Linked DNA regions of Ovis aries. The protein of the gene in region 1 binds, or shares a complex with, the protein of each later gene. Links are inferred from orthologs where the notes say so. Each region holds a gene or a part of one and is shown on either strand. Other genes may lie near its edges. The genes, in order: PPP4R2, PPP4C and PPP4R3B.

The links.
Region 2: PPP4R2 (region 1) and PPP4C share a complex: the UniProt entries of both Homo sapiens proteins name them as parts of the PP4 complex. The link is inferred for Ovis aries from reciprocal best matches to the Homo sapiens genes PPP4R2 and PPP4C.
Region 3: PPP4R2 (region 1) and PPP4R3B share a complex: the UniProt entries of both Homo sapiens proteins name them as parts of the PP4 complex. The link is inferred for Ovis aries from reciprocal best matches to the Homo sapiens genes PPP4R2 and PPP4R3B.

What each region holds. Positions count from the first base shown.
Region 1 is NC_056072.1:28,810,018-28,815,745, reverse strand, and holds the start of PPP4R2 (serine/threonine-protein phosphatase 4 regulatory subunit 2), read left to right. Parts: upstream 1-1,879; 5' UTR 1,880-2,106; coding exon 2,107-2,140; intron 2,141-3,086; coding exon 3,087-3,168; intron 3,169-5,728. UniProt on the Homo sapiens protein: Regulatory subunit of serine/threonine-protein phosphatase 4 (PP4). May regulate the activity of PPP4C at centrosomal microtubule organizing centers.
Region 2 is NC_056077.1:26,717,815-26,722,347, reverse strand, and holds part of PPP4C (serine/threonine-protein phosphatase 4 catalytic subunit), read left to right. Parts: intron 1-1,892; coding exon 1,893-1,944; intron 1,945-1,986; exon of another isoform or gene 1,987-2,151; intron 2,152-2,874; coding exon 2,875-2,925; intron 2,926-3,140; coding exon 3,141-3,242; intron 3,243-3,820; coding exon 3,821-3,994; intron 3,995-4,083; coding exon 4,084-4,210; intron 4,211-4,533. UniProt on the Homo sapiens protein: Protein phosphatase that is involved in many processes such as microtubule organization at centrosomes, maturation of spliceosomal snRNPs, apoptosis, DNA repair, tumor necrosis factor (TNF)-alpha signaling, activation of c-Jun N-terminal kinase MAPK8, regulation of histone acetylation, DNA damage checkpoint signaling, NF-kappa-B activation and cell migration.
Region 3 is NC_056056.1:68,466,580-68,472,555, forward strand, and holds the start of PPP4R3B (serine/threonine-protein phosphatase 4 regulatory subunit 3B), read left to right. Parts: upstream 1-2,596; 5' UTR 2,597-2,931; coding exon 2,932-3,073; exon of another isoform or gene 3,074-3,210; intron 3,211-4,377; coding exon 4,378-4,433; intron 4,434-5,976. UniProt on the Homo sapiens protein: Regulatory subunit of serine/threonine-protein phosphatase 4 (PP4). May regulate the activity of PPP4C at centrosomal microtubule organizing centers.

The DNA.
Region 1 (5,728 bases):
CCAGAAGAACTTTAGGCGATCATGGAATTTTCTTTCTCTGCTGTACAATGCAAAAGTCACTAGCCTCATGGGGCTTCTGAACACAGGAAATGTGGCTAGCAAGACTGAGGAATTGAATTGTATTGAGGAACTCAGGAGTTGAATTTAAATTTTATTTAATTTAAGTTTAAATACCTACACATGGCTAGTGGTGACTGTATTGTTCCACACAGTTCCTACCAGAAGACCCCTGCTTAAAGACAGTCCAGGGTGGCAGAGGGAGGCTAAGCTTTGCTATGTAGAGGACGGGCCCCTTCAGACTGGAAAGGCTCCTCTGTCCTTGGAATTCTCCAGGCAAGAATACTGGAGTGGGTTGCCATTTTCTTCTCCAGAGGACAATAAACTAAATCCAATGTATTTAATGGGCTTTCCTGGTGGCTCAGCCATAAACAATCCACCTGCAATGCAGGAGATGTGAGTTCGATCCCTGGGTGGGGAAGGTCCCCTGGAGGAGGGCGTGGCAACCTACTCCAATATTCTTGCTGGGATAATCCCATGGACAGAGGAACGCGGCAGGCTTTAGTTCAGAGTGTTGCAGAGTCAGACAAGACTGAAGCAACCAAACGCAAACATGGGTGCATTTAAAGCACTGGCCCAGGGTGAAGACACCATTCTAATACATCTCCTACAAGGCTCTTTGTAACTGAGCAGGATGCTTAGAACAGTGAAAGGATCTAAAGATACTAGGGACTAGTTCTCTGATGGCAAAATTGAAGAAATTTTTTTGTAGTGGGGCTTTTCCCTACGTCTGCCACCTACGGTCAGGGTCAGAGCCACTATCTTTTAAGAGGGTCAACACTTGTGATGGTTGTGTCTAAATTTGCACTTTCTAACACCAGTCAAGAATTAGCTTTCTGTCCTCCCTGCCGCCCCTCTCCCTTCCTTCCATGGGTTTGTGTTAGGATTTGAGAAGCGATGGTGGAACAATTCAGTAACTTTTCTTGAAAAGCTCACAGATAAGGGAGAGTAATAAAGATGTTCACACACTAGCTGGTTGCCAGAGGTTCTAGGTTCTACTGTTTTGCTAGACTACGTGTCTACGCCTCAGCTATCCCGTTTGTAAGATGTCAGGGCTGGGAGAGGACTTCTGAGGCCTCCGCCCTAACTTCCTGGGCGCTTATGTAATGTAATCAAAACCATAATGATAATAAAAACAGCAGCCACATGAACTTGAGTGCTTATATTCCAGGCACCACACGCGCTCAATGCTTTATTGTCGCAGTTTCACGAATTTCCATTTTGTGGATGAGAAAACAGAAGCTATGTGAGTTTAAGCAACTAGGTCACACAAGTATTATTAATAAATAGTTGCGTTGGACTTTATATTCAGCTGGTTCCATTGGTTAAACTTCTCATGCTTTTGCTGCGCTCACTCCTTCTTTTCAAGCCTGGGCCATTGAGGTGCTTTGGGTTCAGGCAGGGAGTTAATTTTGTCACGATTACTAGTGATACTCAGTTTTTTTTTTAATGCGTGTTCTGTGTGTATACAGTCTCACTTAATTTTCACAGCAACCGTAAAGAGTGGTTCATACTACTCCCACTATTGTACAGATGGGGAAAGGGAGGCTCAGAGGGACTGATTAAATTGCTCAAGGTCACACAGCTAGCAAGCAGCTGGGATCCACAGTCAAACTGCGCCCACCCCGCCGCCGAGACCACTCCGCCTCCAGCTTGGTGCAGGCAGCTCCGGCCAACCCAAGGGATAGGCGGGGCGGCCCTGCCGGGTCTGGGGGCCGGCCGCGGCCGCACGCCTCCGCCGCGCACGCGCTCTCGGGCTCCGGGTCCGGACGCGCCGCGGGCGCGAGGACGGCGGCGAGGAGCGTGCGCGCGGTGACGTGCCGGGCGCCATGTTGGAGGGCTGGTGGTAGCGGCTCGGGGAGGTGCTCGCTCTCTCGGTCTCGCTCTCTCGCTCGCTTCCCCCAGCTCCCTTCGGTGCCCCCCCCGAATCGCCTGCGTGCCGGAGTGTGTGCGAGGGAGGGGGAGGGCGTCGGGGGGGTGGGGGGAGGCCTTCCGGTCCCCGGGAGACCTGCGGAAGGAGGCGGAGGCTGCGAGGGACTCCGGGAAGCCATGGACGTCGAGAGGCTGCAGGAGGCGCTGAAAGGTGGGGGTAGCTGCCCCCTCTCCCTTCCTCCTTACCCTCCGTGGCCGCCTCTCCGCTCCCTTCTGGGCGAGTGACTCCGCGGGGCCAGGCTGGGGGAGGGCGCGCTTCCCCGGCTCCCATCCCCCCTCCCGCTTTCCCGGGGGCGGGGAGCCCCGTGGGCAGCTCCCTCCCGCCCCGCTCTGGGCTTTGTGTCGGCCGCCGGCGTCTGGGCTGGGGGAGGGGAGTCGGGAAGCTCTCGAGGGGGCCCCGGCCCCTCTCCCACTCCCCGTGAACGTTTCGGGGGCCCGCAGCCCCTCGCAGGCAGGCTTCGTTCTCTATCATCCCCCTGCACACCGGACATCGTGGGGAGAGGGAAAGTGAAAGGTTTCGGGGCGGGGGTAAGGGGGCGGCAGAGCAACTTTCAAGTGTCTCTGGAGGCCCTTTTTTCAGAGCTTCTGGAGTCATCTTCCACGCGCCCCAATTCTGAAGTGGTCGCCTTCCCAGTTCCGAATTGCTCGCCATCCGAGCAACAGGCTTGAGAACTTAGAATACCGTGATTGCAGCGTTTTGAGAATTAGACTTTGATACCAAGGATCATTGGTTGATGACTGCAAGAGGGAGCTGGTGTTTCATATAACGCAGATTTATGAACCTCACGTAAACACTTTGGGGGGAGTTGGGATCTGGGGTTTGTATTTTAACAGGTCTTTGAGATGAATCCCCCGGACTGCATTAAGGATGGTTGGTGGAGAAGTGCCCCCTTTAGGAAGGGTCTCGTTATCTGTGAAGAGTGACATTTGAAGTTGGAGAGTCAGGTGGAATTTATTTGAGAGGCTTTTTAAATTAAAAATAAAATTAGTTTCTTAATATGAGGAATGACTGGAGAGGAAAGTTTGTTTTTAAAGGGCATTGGAAATGGTTGGTGGACTTTGAAAAATACTAATAACTTCTTTCTTCCCTTATCTAGATTTTGAGAAGAGGGGGAAAAAGGAAGTTTGTCCGGTCCTGGATCAGTTTCTTTGTCATGTAGCCAAGACTGGAGAAACAATGTGAGTTGAAAACATAATCGTATTCATAAACCTGTGTGTCCTTAAGAATCTCTTAGGAAAGGGACAGAAGTGTATTTCAGAAGCATTGAATAATCCATCTGTCTAAATTGTACAAGCCCCATATTTAAAGCATTTACTCAGTGTATATGCTTCATTCACTTCACACCATGCTCTGTAATGAATTTTTAAATTGTATTAAAATTTTTCTTTATGCTTTTGCACATTTAGAATGTATTCCTCTAGAACAGCCAGAGAAAGGAAGAATGCATGTTCCATTGTGACTCTTTTTGGCCATTAACAAGCGGGCTTATTTCCAGAATTCTGTGGCTTTGATTCTATTTCAGCTTCTTTTTTTTTTTTTTTTTTTTTTAGTGGTGGTATTTTCTCATATTGTCCTGTATCCAGCCTTTTGTTGTCATTTATATATGTGGGTGCTGGAAGTATCACTTCTGCTTATTCTCTTGGGCACTCAGGGTGATTATCTGACAAATTCCAGATGCTACAGTCTTGACTGTCCTGTAAACTTTCTAGGATAGCTAGCTTGTTAGCATATGCTCAGCATTTTATTAGGCTTGATTCCAAATGTTGTGAATCTGAAACTTATACTGTGAAGTTAAGACTGTTTTCAAAGGAACGTTTATGAATCTAAAACTTACACTGTGAAGTTAAGATTGTTTTCAAAGGAACATTGTTTCATAGTGTCCAGTGTGTTTTGCAGAAGTTGTTTTCATTCTTGTACTGTTCATTTGTAGAGAGCAGTGAAGATTTGGTGACTGATTTGTAGTCGTGTCTTTGTATAGGGGTAGGGAGCAGGAAGGGGAGAGGTTTTGGAGGGTGTAGTGTTAAAAAGTGGGATTTTTAAAAATTCTTTTTGAGGCCTAATAAAAAAAGTGTAAGCTTCAGCAATTATGTACATTACATAATTATGTATCCTTTTGTTTGGCTTTATTAGCAAATGTTCATTTCTTACAAGATTTGCTTATGGTTGCAGCATAGTCTCCTGATAACTAGCCTGCTTTTAAAAGGGGCAGGGGGAACCTCTTTAGTGGTCATGCCAACAAACTGAAACTCCTTGGTGCTTATTAAAATTACCAGTCACCTTAGGAATTTGACTGATGCATTCAATCTTAAGTTTATACTTACTGCCTTAAAAAAGTGGAACCCTTCAGAATTAAAAAAAAGTCATTTTTGCTTCTGAGTTATAGTCTCTTAGAACATCTTGATTTTTAAAAAATTGATGCTGAATAACTAATTTGTATTAATTGTTAGTTGGTCCTAACTTATACCTCTACAATATCAGGAGGAGAAGCATTTTACTTCAGAGTTTTAATAAACAAGATTGTTTGGAGTTAAATACTTAAAACCTCTTTCTAGGTCTGTGCAGATTGCCTTCCCTTCTTGATATAGTGCATTGGCCATAAATGTATAAATAGTTGAAAGTTTCTTCAAGGAAGCTTTTTAATATCCTGTTTGACTGGATCACCAAGTGGCTTGGAAAATTTAACCTGATTTTTCTGAACAATTATTTATCTAATAGAGGACTTCAGAAGATCATCAGTCTTCCCATCCTTGTCCACACTCCTCCTCCCTCCCGGCTAATCTCTAGGTCTTACTATAGGTCTTACTATTTTTGTATTAAAATGACTGATGGTGTTAGATTCTTTATGGATTTTGGAAGATATTTTTAAATTTATGATTCAGTGGTTTTACATTTAGTTTTATTTAGCCTTTGGTTTTTTAATCAATTTGAGCGTGCCTTAACTTTTGATATGGAAATTTGCAGTTTCTGTCATCATTTATGGTTAAACTGATTAAACTGTTCTGAAATTGTATGTAAATAGAATTATACAGTGTATTCTTTGTCTTTTAACAATTTTTTTTTAAATTGGAGGATAATTGCTTTATATCTGCCTTTTTTTACTCAGGGTGACTTAAGATGACTCCATGTCCAGAAATCAATAATTCATTCCTTTTTATTTTTTAGTAGTAGTCTTTACATGGATATCCTACAGATTTTGGTTCATTCACTTGTTGATGGACATTCGCATTATTTCCAGGTTTTAAAAAACAAACTATGAACATTCGTGTATGCGTCTTTGTATGCATTCTTTTCTCTTGGATAGCAATCCATCCAAGAGTGGAATGGTTGGGTCGTATGGTATGTGGATGTTTAACTTTAGAAACTGCCAAACTGTTTCCTAGAGTGATTGTACCAGTTACTTTTCCACTGGTAGTATGGGAGTTCAGATCAGTTTCTCCACATCCTTTCCAACACTTACTATGATCAGTCTTTCTCATGTCAGGTATTCTGATAGGTGCCTATTGTATAGTGATTGTAATTTGTATTTGCTTAATTACTGATGATGTTGAGCATCTTTTCAAGTGTTTATTTGCTGTTTGTGTCTCTTTAGTAAGTTGATGCTTCACATCTTTGCCCATTTCAAAATGGAGTTCTTTGATTTCTTACTAGATTTTGAGAGTTCTTTATATATATGGATACAAATTCTTCATCTAATGTGGTTTGCAAATACTCGACTGTGGCTTGTCTTTATTCTCTTAA
Region 2 (4,533 bases), on another chromosome or scaffold:
CCCCTGGTCTCACTGCTGATTGGAGGGGAAGCTGGTTTTGGATCCAGGTCTTTGACTGTCCTCCGCGCTCACTGACAGCCCGGCAGACATTTAGGCTCTGTGAATGGCAGCAGGGTGCTGCTGAGGAGTGGGAGGGCCCTGTCCAGCTCATGAGATGGAGCTGGGATGAACTCGGCTCGGGCCCGCGGTGGCCACAGTTATCCCAGGCCCAGTCTGGAAGAGGCCCATCTCAAGCATCTGGCCGTGGCCTCCTGGGGACCCACCAGGGCCCCAGGCTGAGACTGGTGGTGTCAAGAACTTTCATTTGCCCAGTGGATACCGAGACTCAAGGCCTTGAAACTGCAAAGGCCTGGGAGCTGCATTTGCTCCTATGAAAAACATCAGCAGTTGAGAACAGCAGAGGGTTTTGAATGAGGTGGTCTTCAGGATGAAGTATAGCTTTGTCACCTGTAAATGGTATGACCCTGGTCCAGTCATTCTTATGTCTCCAAGTCTGAAATTCTTGCAGAGCTCAGATGAGATTCTGCATATCCAGAGACAGCATCTCATTCTTTGGTCAATGGTCAGCAGTGAAAGTGAGCAAGTGTGAGCCCTGAGAGGGCTGATGCCGCGGCCTGGTTCCCACATTGCGCTGAGGCCTTGCTGGCACGGAGGCAGGTTTTGACCGAGTCTGTGGAAAGGGCTGGTGTAAAGTCTCAGGAGATCTGTTCTCAGTTCCAGCCACCCTCCAGCTTTGTGACCTGGATCCTGCCCCTTTTCTCTCTAAACCTCAGTTTCTTTGTCTGATGAGGATGGGAAGAACCTCCCAAGTCAGTTGGAAAAGTATTGTAAGCAGTGGTGTGAGGATGTTTGGTACAAGATGCAGGACAGGCGGGAGAGCCTGGTTGCTCTCTGGCCCCTTGTATCACCGCCAGTGGCTCTTCCCATTCCTGGAAACCAGGGCACACCTCCCTGGAGCTGCCTTAGTTATGCAGTGCACCCTGAGCCCAGGGAGCTCCTGGTCTGGTGGGAAGGGACTGGCCGAGAGAGTGATGGCTGAGCAGGTGCCTCCCACATCAGACTCGCTTAATAAGAGCCAGACCCCAGAGTAGGCCGCCTTGGTTCAGTTCCTGTCTGTGTGGCCACAGCCGCTTTCTTCATCTGAGCCGTGGGAATCATTATAGCACCTGCCTTTGAGGGTGGTGGTTTGAGTGCCCGCATCATCCATGCAGAACTTTTTTAACGACTGACCTGGCACGTGGTGCGAACTGCTGCGTCCTTGGCTCCTCTGATCGTCAAGGACGAAATCTGGAAGCACAGCGCTACTTAACGTTGGGTGTCCGTAATGGGCAGTGATTTACATGTCAAGCTCGTTCAGGTAGAAGTAGATCACACTGCAAGGAAAGAGGGAGCACAGAGTCCTCGCTTCCTCTGAATGATAGAAGAGTGGCAACAGCATATCGCCTTGAAGGTGGATCTGATGGCTGGCCTGCCCAGGGCACCACCCTTGTGCCCAAGAACATTCCAGGGGAAGAAGGCCCCTGGGGTGGGGAGAGAGGGGCTGTAAGAGCCCAGCCAAGGCACTGTGTGGACAGGAGGAGGAGCTCTTGTCTTCTGGGAGTCGTTGCCAGATGTGTGAAAGGGAGCAGCCAGGAGGGTCAAGGTCAGGAAAGTCCTAGACTCCTTGGGAAGGCCTTGGATGCTGAACAAGAGCTGGGGCTTTGGCCTGTCAACTGTGGGGAACCACAGAAGGGTCTCGAACTTGGGGGCTGTGATTAGCCTTGCCTGGGGGAATTGTACACCTCCCACCTGCCCTATGGAGGTTCACGCCTCATCCTCTCTTCCCCTGCAGAAAAGGTCAGAAATTGGGTTGGGCTGGCCCGGCTCTGGTAACTTTGGTCTTCTGTCTCCAGAGAGATCTTGGTGGAGGAGAGCAACGTGCAGAGGGTGGACTCTCCAGTCACAGTGAGTTCCCGCTGTCCCCCCACAGCCTAGCTCGGTCTGTTAGGCCTGTGGGCGTCCTCCTTAGTCTTGTGGGCTCCAGGGTCTACCCCTCATCCCTGGGAGCCCCATCTTCAAGAGAGCCTTGCTAGAAGAAATGGTGGTTGTGGGCATGGTCTTTGGAGTCACTGGAGGGATGCTCTTGGCCTGGGCAGAAGGACTCTTAATTTGGTGAGTGAGTGAACTCCACGTGTTCCTGTGTGTTACTAGTGACTTTATTCTGGGTGTCTGGAGGGGAGTAGGGAGAGGAGGAGGCCAGGTTCTCTGGGAGCTGCAAGTCTAGCTGGAAAGAATTTGCTCTAGCTCTTGCCCACAGAATAGTTGGCACTCAGAGTGGGATGGGGGGATTGGGGTGGGAGAGGAGATTCTCGACTCTGGGAAGTAGAAGCTTTCAATCCAGGGAAGATCTCCTAGAAGAGGAAATGGTAACAGCTCCATATTCTTAGCTGGAAAATTCCACAGACAGAGGAGCCTGGTGGGCTACAGTCCATGGGGTTGCACAGAGTTGGGCATGGCTGAGCACATACACACACTCTCTCTTGGCTTGGCCGAGATGGATAAGGATCTTCTAAAGCAGGGACTTCCAGGTGGCTCTTGCCCTCTGAGAGGTCCCACATTCTGTCTGTGGAGTGTGTTTCTCTAAATAAATCCATTTCTTACCCGTAAATAAATGAAGCCAGGACTTCCCTGGTGGTCCAGCAGTTAAGACTCTGTGCTTCCACTGCAGGAGTTGTGGGCTTGTGGGTTTAATCCCTGGTGGGAACTAAGATCCCATGTGCCATGCAATGAGGCCAGAATTTTTAAAAAAAATAAAGCAGTAGGGTGTTTTTGAAGGACAGCCCCTGGCAGAAAGGCTTTCAGACTCTGAGTTCTGACCTGCCTCCTCACTTCCAGGTATGTGGTGACATCCATGGACAATTCTATGACCTCAAGGAGCTGTTCAGAGTGAGTGTGGGGAATGCCAGGAAAGGTGACCCAGGGGATGACTGCAAGACCCCTTTAGTTGAGAGTGGAGACTTTGGTGATGGGGTTGGGGGTCAGAGGCCTCTAGTTAGGTAGGCCCATTGTGGAAGAAGGGCCTCGACTTGACTGGAAATGGGCCGGTGCAGTGGGTTGGGGCGAGTTTAGGACCAAGCTGAACCTTCTTCCTCCCTCCCCAGGTGGGTGGCGATGTCCCTGAGACTAACTACCTCTTCATGGGGGACTTTGTGGATCGTGGTTTCTACAGTGTCGAAACGTTTCTCCTGCTGCTGGCACTTAAGGTGGGAACCCGCTGGCTTCTGGAGCCAAGACCTGGTCTGATTTGGCCTGCATCCTTTCTGCCCTCATTTCCTGCCCCATCTGCCCCCAAGTCTTGAGCTGTGCTGCTGGTGATAGACCGTTGCTGCTTGGGTGGTCAGGCAGCTTTCCTTGACTTGGGGGCATCTGATGAGGTCGAGGTGGGGACGGCATCATAGCGGGAAGGAAGAGAGGCTCACCCTGTTCAGAAAGTGGCCCGAGTGGAGTTCAGCTGGATACAGTATCCATTGGTAGGAGAGAGGTCGTAAGAGGCCAGATAACAAGGTGCTCTAAATGTCTTGCTAAGGGCTTGGTCCATACCTGGTGGATGAAGGAGGGACGGTTAGGTTTGTAGTTGAAGTGGGGGGTGGGAGGGAGTGAGAGGATTTGGCTTTGGATCCTCTGGAGGTGGGTCGGGGTGCCCGTGAGGTGAGTGTGGCACGATCCGGGCAGAGATGACTGGAATCTGGACTGGGGCGGTGGTGACGAGGGTGGAGCAGGGCTGGCAGACACGAGGACGTCGAGGAGGGAGGGACAGGCCCTGCATGGTGACTGCCTGCAGGTTCGCTATCCTGACCGCATCACCCTGATCCGGGGCAACCACGAGAGCCGTCAGATCACCCAGGTCTACGGCTTCTACGACGAGTGTCTGCGCAAGTACGGCTCAGTGACCGTGTGGCGCTACTGCACTGAGATCTTTGACTACCTCAGCCTGTCGGCCATCATCGATGGCAAGGTAGGCCCGCCGTGCAGCTCCCTGGGGACGGGAGGGCCGGCGGGGCTACAAGAGGCGCCGGGCCCCAGCCGGTCTTGCTCTCCTCGTAGATCTTCTGTGTGCACGGGGGGCTCTCCCCCTCCATCCAGACGCTGGACCAGATCCGGACAATTGACCGGAAGCAAGAGGTGCCCCACGACGGGCCCATGTGTGACCTGCTCTGGTCCGACCCTGAAGGTGAGGGCAAGAGCTCTGCTCTTAGCTTGGTGAGTGACCGAGGGGATCCTGTGGTTAGAGCAGGTGCCTGGAAGGGGTGGCCCTGGGCAGGTGAGTTTGGGGCAGAGTGGGGCTGGTCTTCACTGGCATTGGTGCTTGATGACCAGTGGGCTGGCATCCTCTATGAGGAGTGGGGATGAGGGTAGCTGGGTGCTTTGAGCTAGGGGGTTGGGGGGCATGTACGTCATACCTCAGGGGCTTGTTGAATGTGAATCATCAGCTTCCTGAATGTGAAGGGGCTGCTGCAAGGATCAGGCTCCCAGAATGATTGCCCCCAGAACCCA
Region 3 (5,976 bases), on another chromosome or scaffold:
AGGGGAATGCATAGCACACTGCCTCCCTTCAGAAGCCTCCCTCAGTGAACATTATTACCCTTCCCAAACTCACTCTCTGTCTGCTAATCTATTTTTTTTTCCTTTGGTCATAACATTTACCAGTATCTAGCATACATTTGTTTATTGTCTTCCTACACTAGAATGTGGGCTTCCCTTGTAGCTCAGTGGTGAAGAATCCACCTGAAATGCAGGAGTCACGGGTTTGATCCCTGGTTCCGTAAGATCTCCTGGTGAAGGAAATGGCATCCTACTCCAGTATTCTTACCTGGGAAGTCCCATGGTCAGAGGAACCTGGAGGGCTACAGTTGATGGAGTTGCAAAGAGTTGAACACAACTGAGGGACTAAACAGCACTAGAATGTAAGCGCCATGAAAAGAGGGATTTTTTCCTATTTATCCATTGACTAGAACAGCGTCTAGCACTTAATATAGTCAATGAGTGTTGAATGACTGAATAAGTACAGGAAATGACTCCTGTGATTTCAATTAAGAGTGGGACACTTACTGAGCGACTTCACTTTCACTTTTCACTTTCATGCATTGGAGAAGGAAATGGCAACCCACTCCAGTGTTCTTGTCTGGAGAATCCCAGGGATGGTAGAGCCTGGTGGGCTGCCGTCTGTGGGGTCGCACAGAGTCGGACACGACTGAAGCAACTTAGCAGCAGTAGCAGCATAGGATATTAAGCTTTTAACGTATGGTGTCAAAGTGACTTCTATATAGTTCTCATTTTCAATATTAATACATACCTTGCTCATAAATTCTTTTAGGCCAGTAACACATTATGACTTTGTTCACCTGGTCCCCACAGCCTTAAACACCTTTCAAGCCAAACTTCCACTCAGGGATCCTCTAACATCAGGTCCCAAAGTTACCAGTGTGAAGCCTTCTCTGACCTGAGATAGAGATGTTATTTTCTCTGGGTTCAAAATGCATTTTGTGCACATTAGTCACAGCAATTAATGTGCTCTTTTGCTACATATATTGCACGCATCTGTGCTCAGTCACTAAGTCATTTCAGACTCTTCTGTGACCCCATGGACTGTAGCCGACCAGGCTTCTCTGTTCCTGGGGTTTTCCCGGGCAAGAATACTAGAGTGGGTTGCCATTTCCTTCTCCACAGGATCTTCCCCACCCAGGAATCGAACCTGCATCTCGTCTCCTGCAATTCTTTACCCCTGCAGTTCAGTTCAGTCGCTCAGTCGTGTCCGACTCTTTGCGACCTCCTGCACCACCTAGGAAATCCCCAACACATGTAACTACTTAAATTCAAGTGTATTTTCTTAGGTTCTCTTTAGATTAAAAGAAAACCCTATGTAGCCAGATTTTGAAATGAGAGTTTATTTTTCATCAGGAGCCTACTCTGTGTAAGCATGTCACGTGTCAGTTCGTATGCTGGGTTTACGCACAAGATTTGGTCAAAAGAGAAGCACGCTTTGACAACACCATTGGTAAGGAATGACTACAACTCCCAAGATGCGCCGCAGGGTAAAACCTGTCGATCTCGCTTGATTCTCACCCTTCAGACTAAAGGGTTGTCAAGAGCTGGCGGCAGAACAAACTGAAACTGTCTTTAAAAACGAACAAAAAGAAATCTACCAAGAACGAACAGCGACTGACAAACAATACCGCGCAGTGTCTGACAATTAATGTGATGTGTGACAACCGAAGTGAACGTCCAGAGGACTGCCCCCTCGCTTATTCAGTGCGGAAGACCTCCCGAGAGAGAACGCTAGAAATGCCAGCAGGAGACACTCAAAGATATGGAAACAGTGCTCTTAGATGTGTTAGGAAGGTAGTTCCCCGCCACTTGCCTAAACTTATCTGAAGACTTACGTTCCGAGGTTACCAACGCAGGAAGGACACTGTTTTCAAGAAGCGGAAAGTATGCCAGCCACCAAAAGCCTGACAAGAAATAACGCCTGAACGAGAAATAAACTGCCAATGCACTTTTGTACGATGTTATAATCTCCTGGATAGCCACAGAACATCCTGAGGAGATGCTTAACTGTAGCAGACTCCTTAGCGAGTTTCAGTGGGTTTCGAGTCGCAGTAAAGGGCTAACGTCTTCACAGAAAGAGGTTTAAACTATTTTTCTCTCACAGGCTGAAAGGGCGAGCTTCCATTATGGAGTGCGAGCACATTTCCTTCCCTTCTGCTCAGGGTGAGTCCCGTCCAAGGATGCGTACCTCCCAGACTTGCTTCGTTTTTTCCACAGAGCTAGAGTCCACGGCTGCTCACACGCCGGGCGCAGCCCCAACAAACCGCACGAAGCCGAAGCCACAACTCCGCCCTCGCCGCCAGTGCAGAGAAGTCTCGCGGCACCAGCGAAGACCCGGAGCTCGCGAGAACCGCCCACCTGGCGAGAGCCCACGCCTGCAGGCGGGGCCGAGAGAGGAGGAAGTCGCACTTAGACCCACCCACCTCACTCCACTACCCCTCCTCGCGAGAATACTGAGCTTGGCCGACCTGGGTAGCGCGTGCAGAAACAGAGGCGTCACACGTTGGACTCGTCGGCCGCCGTAGCCCCTGCTAGGACAGCCCGTGCGAACCTGCTGGAGGAGGAAGAGAAAGGCAGAGAGAATCGGGTTACAAGATGGCGGGTCTTTAGTAGTTACCGCGGCGGCGGCGCGGCGGCGGCGGGAGAGCGAGCGAGCTCTGGGGGGTAAAGGGTGGGGAGGGTGGGTGCGTTCGGGGGTGAAGTGAGAGGTAACTGGGAATCTGGACGGCAAGGTCTCAGTGGCTCCTGTTGCCCTTTCCCGCGGCTGAACCTGGGAGCCATGGTGAACTCGGGCCTCTCCGGAGCCGCCGCCGCCGCTGCCGCCACCGCCGCTACCGTCTCTCAAGAGTGAGGGGCGTAAAGGAGGTGAGCAAGGAGGCGGCGGCTGGAACAGTGGGGACAGCAGTCACCATGTCGGATACGCGGCGGCGAGTGAAGGTCTATACCCTGAACGAAGACCGGCAATGGGACGACCGAGGCACCGGGCACGTCTCCTCTACCTATGTGGAGGAGCTCAAGGGAATGTCGCTGCTGGTTCGGGCAGAGTCCGACGGTAAGGTTATTGGAACCGTAGCATAGGGGACAATGCCTCCGGTTTGGGCACAGCCTGGGGTTTAGGCCCTGAGCCGAGTACTGTTACTGCCAGCCACTTGGAACAGCGCATTGGTTTTGTGTCTTCACTTCAGTAAGGTAACAGCAAACTACTTTGTCGGGATTGACCCTCAGTCGTACGCCGAGTCTCTGTTTCCTCCTCTTGCTAGCCTTATTAAAACACTTGATCCCTTTCTCTGCAGTCTGGCCTCTTAAAGAAGCGGGGAGAGTGTGGGAGGGAAGGGAGGAAGTAATGAAAAACAGTTTAGTGCTCTCCTTCTGACCCTCCCCGTCCCCCTTTATTTTCTTACACATTTTATCTCTGATACAAAAAATTTAATGAAACGTTACTCTTTTTTAAAAAATTGATTTTATTAACAAGCTCCAGTTGCCACAGTAGACAGGTGCTGGGAAAAACCAAAAGACGCCTTTTTCCTGGGGTTATTGCAGATTGTTGCCACGATACATGCACTCACAAGCACATACATCTTCAGACTGGGATCCCTCCAGGCTATCTTTGTAGAGGGTGCTGTGAACAAGTGAATACTTTACAACTTAAACAAGTTAGGACAACAGACCAGACTGTAAACTTGTATTCCTTGATTTATTGTACGAGTCTAATGTGAAATATTTTTAAATGATAAAATGTATAGCCTTAATGAAGACACCTTCCTCACTGTAATCTGACCGCTGGATTTGAGCAGCTGATAACGTGCAAATAAAAGAATAATAGTCTTCGGTTTATTTTCGACACATCTTGTACTCTTGCACCTTTTTTTTAAAGTAATCATAGACATTTATTTTTACATGAGGTGGCCTTTGTTCTTAGAAAAGGATAAATGCAGTTTTGTAATTTGTGTGCAAAGTATTTAGATCCCTGTTGTGGTACTTTGTAATTTGTTTTATTTGTTAAACTGGAAATGCAATAAAAATAACTTTGTTAAAAAGAATTTGGTTTCAGGTGGTCATTTAGACCTTAAAAAGTTTCCTTTCAATAAAACTATAAGTCATCTAGTCTCTGTATATTCTTGGTCTGAATGTTGGTCTTAGATGGATTTTTTTCCCTTAAGAGTATTATGGGGATAGAATGATATGTTCTAATGCAAAGTCCAGATCTTGAGAGAAAAATGTAAACTGGAGTATATTTGATGACTTAAGATGTCTTGCCTGGGAAAGAAAAAAGTTTTTTTTTTTAATGTGTATTCTGATGTTTTACTCAGGGTTTTGTAAGTTGAAACTTATAAATATTATTTTTTTAACTTTCAGGATCACTACTCTTGGAATCAAAGATAAATCCAAACACTGCATATCAAAAACAGCAGGCAAGTAGTTGTTTATCTTTAATTTGAAAGACTTCATCTGTGATCAAGGAAGTATTAATCAGACAAAGAATGGGAAAGCTTTCCTGACAAGAAAAAAAACATTTGGTAAACAAAGTTACATACTGTATGTATTTTCCTTGCAGATTAAAAGTTTTCAAACTGAAAAGTGCAAGCTTTTGTACTGGCAGTAATTTATTATCTTTGAATTGAGCCACTGTTAGTTTCTAGTAGAATACAATGTATTCATTAGTCTTACTTAACTGCAGCTAGTCAGGTATCTTTTATACACTGTACACTAAGCCTTTTATTCTCAATCACAGTTAAAGGAAATGGCATAAAAGAAAATTCATAGGAGTACTCTTTAAAGCAAGGAAAGCCTGTTTGTGGTGTGAAAGTAGATTCTTTGACTCATACAGAGGTAAAACTTTGAAGTAGAAGCACTTAACATCCTGTTCTTTAATTGTATATTTTTAATATAATAACCAATTGATATTTTATGAAAGTGTACACTGCTTATTATGTAATGTTTTCTGTTAATATTTATTGTCTTATCTGGGAAAAGAAAATCTATGTTGTGTATTAGTGTGCCTAATTATCTAATCTGGAAATGGCAGCAGTGATTCAACCTTTCCTTTATTCTGTGAATGTTTTCTTTTTTATTATGAAAAATTTCAAAATTGAAAAGTACAGAGAATAATATAATGAGTGTCTGTGTAACACCTCCAAATTTAACAATGTTAACATTTTACCATATCTGTTTCTAATCTTTTTGTAGTGTTGAACATTGTGGATAGAATTAAAACTCTCTTTGTACCCATTTCATTCTATCCATTCTCCATCCTCCCTATAGGTAACCACTATTCTGAAATTGATGTGTATTATTTCTGTACATGCTTTTATACCTTTTCTGCATATGTATGTATCCATAAAGAATATGTAGTCTTTTGTTTGTTTTAAACTTTGCACAATTGATCTCCTATTCTTACATGTACTCTGCAGCTTTCATTTTTCACTCAGTACTGTTTTGAAGATTTGTTCATGTTAACAATGCAGATCTAGTTGGGCTTTTTTTAAAAACACTGTATGATATATACACCTGTTGTTAGAAATTTGGATTATTACTGATTTTTAGTGTGTTTGATGTGTAAAGTGAATATGGCAGAGATTTTTGGAGGAAAAGATAATTTTCCAGTGTATTTTGTGTGTGTGTGCAGTGTGTAAAGTGAATATGGTAGAGGTTTTTAAAGGAAAAAATAAATAATTTGAAGGAAAAGATCATTATATTTATATCATCAGTGCCTACTCTCTTCAAGATCAGTGAAAATTTTGATGCTCAGAAACAAATACTTTACAGTTGGAGAAATGAAATTATATGTCTATTGCACGGTGCATTGTTAGTAAAAGTCTTACTGTTAAAACAATTATTTTGTGTATACAATACATTCATAATCAGTAATTTGAAATATTTTTGAATTTTTAATATTCAAGTAATAGTGTTTTTTTCTGCTTATAAAATACTATGTGTTTTTTTGAGAGAGAATCA